2 linked regions of the Ovis aries genome follow. The protein of the gene in region 1 interacts with the protein of each later gene in a biochemical or structural test. Links are inferred from orthologs where the notes say so. Each region holds a gene or a part of one and is shown on either strand. Other genes may lie near its edges.

What was found.
Region 2: the proteins of CLTC (region 1) and TOM1L1 form a complex in vitro, tested with the Homo sapiens proteins (2 studies listed by BioGRID and IntAct). The link is inferred for Ovis aries from reciprocal best matches to the Homo sapiens genes CLTC and TOM1L1.

What each region holds. Positions count from the first base shown.
Region 1 is NC_056064.1:10,335,679-10,339,196, reverse strand, and holds part of CLTC (clathrin heavy chain 1), read right to left. Parts: intron 2,071-3,518; coding exon 1,948-2,070; intron 905-1,947; coding exon 759-904; intron 532-758; coding exon 348-531; intron 155-347; coding exon 1-154. UniProt on the Homo sapiens protein: Clathrin is the major protein of the polyhedral coat of coated pits and vesicles. Two different adapter protein complexes link the clathrin lattice either to the plasma membrane or to the trans-Golgi network.
Region 2 is NC_056064.1:4,891,389-4,894,906, forward strand, and holds part of TOM1L1 (TOM1-like protein 1), read left to right. Parts: intron 1-837; coding exon 838-987; intron 988-1,722; coding exon 1,723-1,848; intron 1,849-2,836; coding exon 2,837-2,929; intron 2,930-3,518. UniProt on the Homo sapiens protein: Probable adapter protein involved in signaling pathways. Interacts with the SH2 and SH3 domains of various signaling proteins when it is phosphorylated. May promote FYN activation, possibly by disrupting intramolecular SH3-dependent interactions.

The DNA.
Region 1 (3,518 bases):
AAGGATCATCTGCTTTGATGTAAGAATCAATGGCTTCTTTCACCATTCCTTTCTGCAACTGGGCTTTTGCGAGCTGACTCCAGACTGCCGGTTCATTGCAGCGTTCAGCAAACTCATATGCCCGATCCAAGTTTCCAATATGTTCGATCAAGACCTAGGCAACCAATTCTTCATCAGTTATAGAACAATGAATCTTACCATGTAGCAATTACATTTAAACGGTTAGGATTTTATTGCTCTTCTATTACCACAGCAATAAATTATGCCCTTTCTCAGAGGACAATGCATACACTGAACCAAGAGAAGGCGTTACACAGGAAATCAGCTCGGGTAATGTGAAGGTTTACCTGCACTGCTGAGGTATTGACATCAAATTTCCGGAAAATGGCAAATGCTTCTTCAAAGAGCTCATTGCTGATGGCGATGTTGGCAATATCTGGGGCATCATAATTATCCAGGCGGTTAATGTACTCCATAACACGGGTACGGTCAGCCTTGATTGCAGTGAGGATGAGGAGGTTTTGCAGGTTCCTTTCAGAAAGAAAAATTTGAATGTAATATTTGGAAAGCTCATTAGTCATAACAAACACTGTAGCTATTAAGTATTCCATCTCAGGAGAGAGGGTCACAAGAGGGTATTAGAAGAGTGAAAATTAAGACAACATTCTCTAATATCTGTCTCTTTGTTCCTTTCCCAAACTGACAGGCCATAATTAAAGACTGAGTATAAAGAGCCAGGAAACCCTCTCATAGCATACCTGTGTTCACTGAATACAGAGTTATCAAGGACAATTTTCTCCAGCAGTTCAATGAGTTCATTAGGAAGGTCTGCAGTCATAAAGGCCTTGACAGTTACTGACACTTCCTCAGGGTCCTGAGTTTCAGACAAGGCTGTCTGTACAACCTGCAGAGGATATACAAAGAATAAGTACTGAGAGTCCAGGTGGTTTTGATGATATTATCTAATAAGAATAAGCTGGCCTCTCAGTAGAAAATGAAACAGGTCGAGAAGAAGGAATGAGATAAAATACCTTTAATTTACCACCCAAAGATCTTTCTACATAAATCCACATATATCTGTAACATGTATTTCCAATTTTTTTGTTGTGGGGGGTAGGGGTGCCTACTCGTATAATTTCTATCTTTTCCCTGATTAAAAATTATTCCTAATAACCACTCTTCATTATCACTTTAATGGTCACATAAAGTCCAACCATATGCATGTGGCATTATACACTCAGTAATGCTTCTGTTTATGGCTATTTGCATGGCTCCCAGATGCAGCAATGAGTATTTGCTCTAGGAAGCTTTGTATCAATTTGGGAATTTTCCTTAGACATGCTTCCAAGGAGAGGAATGAAAAACTGATACTCTTCAATTTACTCTCTTCCATATTCATACTTCTATTTATAATTTAAGAACCATTATTAACAACCTTCAATTTTTAAGGTTTTAAAAAATGTTTTCAATTATTTATATAGCTATAAACTCGCATCTTCTTTGCTTACTATTGAGACTTACTTAACATTTATCTACTAGATCATTCACCAGTCTTTATTCTTTGCTGATTTACCCTTGTCTTGAATGTTTCCAATCAATTTAATTACTTCTCAGGTATTTTTAACAGTAATTCTTACTAATTTTATTAAATGTCTGATTTACTGGTATCCTTTTAGCTATGATGAGTTGAGGGAGTCTTATGTAATTAAATTCTCTCCTTGGGGACGTATTTTCTTGGAGAAGATATACTTCATTTTTGTTAACATTTATATATATATATATATATATATATATATATATATTAGTATCATCTTTATTTTCTTCTGTCTTTTACTGCCATCTCTCACAGTTAAATATGATCCATTTGAGTATATTTGGTATATGATGAGGGAAAAGGTTTTATTTATAGTTAAAAAGATGAGCCTTGAATGCATTTGCAAATTTTACCTGATCAATGAGGGGTCTCCTATAAGGATTGCTTTCCAGCAGCACACTACCCCACAATTCTGGGTCCTTCCGCCGTACCAGATAGCGAGAAAGACTTTTGAAGAGGGAATTCTCATTGCAGACCTAAATGAGAAATTAAAGATTAATTTCAAGGTAAACAATAAAACCTTTCCACAGACTGACTGTAATTTTAAAAGGTTATATCCTATCATTATACCCTATTTAGTGTTTTATACCAAAAAAAAAAAAAAAATCCATTACTTCTACATGTAATCTTTAAAGTCACAACAATATTTTTCTTATTAAAATTCAAACAACAGAAAAAAGTTGTTATATTTTTGAAGGCTTTTAAAAAGCACCCTGATGGTAGATCTATATTTGGACTTTATATTTTACTCTACTGGCCTGTGTATTCATGCACCAGGATGCAATTTTTAATTATAGAGGTTTTGTAATGTGCTTTAACATTTGGTAAGGCTAGTCCACCTTCACAGCTTTCTTTCAGTGTTCATTTTCCCATGTGTATATGCATACATATGTTCATACGTGTATGAATTTGTATGTTCACAGATGCATACAGCTCTGATCACTCAAAGACCCTAGAAGGAAATACACCGTAGAGTCTAGATCTGGGTTTCTAATAGCACTCCCCACTGAACAAAATAAAAGTTCTTCACAAAAATGAATGATCCACGGCAGGGGAGGGTATAAAATGAGCATGGTATAACTTGCTGGGCAAGGAAACAAGATGTGCTCAAGAGCAATGAGATCATGACACAAAGCCATGAGAGGCAGGCTGATGGGATTTCTATCAGCCAAAAGGGAGGTAATTTGAAAATCAAAAACATGCATCATTAACCCATAGAACTCGTAAGTCCATGAAAATATGCACGTTGACTGATAAATATGGAGAAAATGATGAAGTTGGAAAATTGTCATTTTGCAACCAACACAAAAGAATAGCTTAGTAAGAATTAATAGATTCAAAATTGGGGGCGGGGACACACACAAATAGGATACTCACATGGTCTTAACTGTCTCCTCACAGACTACTTAATACCTCCAAGGGGAAACACATCTATAAGGGGAAATTTATTTCTATAATGGAGAAGCTGACAAGTTAATGAAAAGTGACCCTCAAAATGAAGGACTAAAGACATAAGGTGCTTTTGCATGTTACAGCATAAGAAAAACATCACTTAAGTAATGCACTTTGGATGGAAACATACAATCTAAATCTAATCAGGAGGAACAATAAGAGAAATTCAAAGCGAAGAACATTCTATTTTTTAAAGCGATTTTTCACTAATAAATATCCAGAATAGGTAAATCCAGAGACAGAAGGCAGTTTGGAGGCTGTCAGGGGCTGGAAGGAGGTAGGGAATGTGGGACAACTGCTTAGTGAGTACTGGATTTCCTCGTGTGGTGATGAACACTTGGAATAAGAACTCCGAACAAGAGAGATATAATGGTTACACAACACTGTATGTGTACTAACTGCCACTGAATTACTCACTTTCAAATGGCTAATGTTATGTTACCTTCAATAAAAAAAGAGAAAAAGACTATTT
Region 2 (3,518 bases), about 5.4 Mb from region 1:
TTCTCAATAACGTCCAGATTCTTTACATTGCCGCACAACTTTCTGCACAGTCTGGATGATGCCCCTCCAGACTTTATCCATTCAGTTCCCCAGGGTCTCCAGTTTGCCGATATAAAGAAGCCTCTACAAACCAGAAAACTTGTTTTCCTTCTCACAGCTCATACAGTTCATCACCTGTACATAAATTTTTTTATGATTTGCCTGTCTAGACTATCGCTTTATATGCATTTATCCTTTTCTTGACCATTTTTCAAAGGCTAGCTTAGGACCACCTTTTTGAACTGATGTACACCCGTGGCAGATTCATGTTGATGTATGGAAGAATTTTTTATTAAATAAAAAAAAACAAAAGTCTCAAACACCTGGCCCTAAATGGTCACGTCTGCCTGTAAAGGTCTGTAGCTGGAGTAACCGTGCAAGTTTTCACCCAGGCAAGGATGTTTTTGGAAGTGAAAGGAGATGATGTCATTAATAAAGCTGGGGCAATAGGAATTCACCAGGACTTTCCTGGAAACACTAGGACAAATGTCAGCTTGCCTAGAGCCAACAGGCTTTGTTTGCACCTCCCACTGGCCCTTGGCATTACCACCTCACATTGTTACCAGTTCTCTTATGATTGTGTCCTGGCTCCCCAACAAGACTGTCTGCTAAGCAGTTACATTATGCCTTAAATTTCCTCACATTCCCAGAACCGAACATTTTGCCATGTATTTTAGTGGATAACCAAATTTTGTTTATTAATTAGAGTGCTGGTGGAAATCATCACTTAGCAATTTTTCTCTTGTACTTTGGAGGTGGTTTTGCCCAAGAGATAAAATGTTTGATTTTTCCCTTCAGCTTATTGACATGTGCGTACAGAACTGTGGTCCGAGTTTCCAGTCTCTGATTGTGAAGAAGGAGTTTGTTAAAGATAGTCTAGTGAAGCTGCTGAATCCCAGATACACATTGCCAATAGACATTCAGAACAGAATCTTGAATTTCATTAAGGTAAGTCTGTTATATACCTTATGGGCTAGTGAATGTCTAAGATTAGAAGCTTAATTTCCTAACTCCCAGTTGGTTCAGTGATCCTTTATAAGCCTGGAACTGAGCTTCAAAGTGTTTTTATTCTGTTTTCCATGTAATAATTTCTTGGCATTGGACACTGGCCTTTTTCTGAAGAATTTATAGTCTTTTCCATATTTGTCTCTCAGTTTCTGTTTTATCTATGTCAGATAGAAGAGATAGTGATGTATACATTTATTTTACAGATGTGGAAACTATCTTCTCGGGTCGATAACTCACTGCCTGCAGTTATTTGGCAAAAGATCTACAGATGGTGTTTTAGAGTCTATTAATTGTATCTAGTCTAGAGTTTCACTAAATTGTTGAGGCCTGGCAGTCTGATAATTAAAAATATTTTACATTATTCTAATCTCTAAAAATGGACATTTTGGACTTTGCTGGTGGTCCAGCACCTTCACAGCCAAGGGCACGGCTTCAGTCCCTGCTTGGGGAGCTAGGATCCCACCTGCTGTTTGACACAGCCAAAAACAAGTAACTGCCACCACCATCCCCCCCCCCCCAAAAAAAAAAACCTGCAAAAAATGTACATTTTGTGTATGGCATTCAAAAGTATGGCATTCTGAGTAAGCTTCATAATTGTCAGTCTCTGATTTTTTGGTCATTGTGTTTTGTTTTGCTGCTCTTTTATCTCTGAAACTTTCCATCTCTTGAATTCAGACATGGTCGCAGGGTTTCCCAGGAGGTGTGGATGTCAGTGAAGTGAAAGACGTGTACCTGGACCTCCTTAAGAAAGGGGTTCAGTTTCCTTCATCAGGTGGAGAGACTGAAACAGCCAGACAAGAGGTAGGAGGCCCTTTTTGACCTGTGTAGAGAAAGACAGTGAAGGGCTTGGGTCTTTCTTCATTGAAAGGAACGACTCTAGCTCCACCCAGCTTAAGCTGAAAGATGAATCTGTGATTTCAGAGAATAACCAGGCCACAAGAAGGCTGGTGTTAGCTGGGTCTTTGTAACAACAGAGAACTGAGATTCAAATGCCTCGTTACTTGTCTGCTCCCCTTTGACAATCAGCTTATTCTGTCCTTGCAGACCAGTTTTCTTCACGTTGTAGACAACACGCGGGGCCTGCTATGCATGTGCCTGCTAAGTCACTTCAGTCTGACTCTGCGCAGGGCTCCCTGGGTGGTGCTAATGGTAGACAACATAGCTCCCACATTTTCATGTTGCAGCCTTAGCTTTTTCAGATTCAAAGCTCAAAATTGCAGAGAAAGGACTCATTGAACCAACATGGGTCAGTTTTCCATTTCTGCACAAGTTAAGTGAGGTTTTGGAAGAATGTGATGGCTTCATATAGAAATCGTTTAGGTAGAGCAGAGTAGGGGCAGTTTTCAAAAGAAAAGATTGGTGCTAGACCGGCAAGGGGCTCTGTTGGTAGTCATGTAATAAATTTGTTTATCAATACTGTGCCCATAGAAGAGTCTCTTCATGTTCACATGTATTCATTCTCAAGTCTGTAAATAACTTCCCAGGTTTTGAACTTACAACACTTTGAGAGACTGATTATAAGTCAACTCTTGGCTTCCTGTAATGTAATGTAGAAACATAATGTAAACACAGTAGTTCTTTCCATAATGTAAAATCAGTAGTTCTTCCCTTCTGTGATTGGTGAGTCCTGTCTTGGTAGAAAAAGCAATTCATGTGTATACCAAAGTCTGACCTTTGTGAAGGCTTTGTCCTGAGGGCTAACTCTCCCTAGTGAGTGAGTCATCTGAATGGAAAAATGGGCTTGCAGTGGCCAAGTTAATTCCAATAATAATATTTCCATGTTTCATAGACGTCACCGAATCCACCACCGTCTGTTCCTTCTGCACCAGCTCTTCCTTCCGTAGCCCCCAAGATCTCCACTATTGCATTGGTCCCAGAACAGGTAACAATAGCAATGATTGTATTTATTGATGACTTTTTCTAAGTTCTAAGCACTTTATATATAGTTCGTTTATTCTTAGCAATGTTATTGTAAGGTGGAGATATCTTTTAGCCTCATTTTACAGAGAAGGGGACTGAACTGTATGTCGATGATGGTTCAGCTCTAAGTGGAATTAATCCCATGAATTCTGCCTGATTCTGAAAGCCTGAGCTTGAACAGTTGGGCTTGTCTAGTGGCTTATGTGGCTTTGTGGAGGCTTGGCTGTATGTGGAGTTTATAAGCAGCTGATCCTGTTGCCCCTGATAAGACTGCCCATATGCCATTTCAGACAGCTCGGTGAATGGTAGTCTTAGAACTGATATTAATTGTGCCAATCGAATTGCATTCATGGCTTTGTCTTTTATCTGTTTATCAAAGGTTTAGACAAGCAGTTATTAAATGAAGCTCATTTCTATCCTGCTATAAAGGAACTATCATTTAAGACTTTGTAGGGACTTCCCTGGCAGTCCAGTGGTTAAGAATCCGCCTTCCAATGCAGGGGACACAGGTTCCACCCCTGCTTGGAGAACTGAGATCACAGCTGCCACAG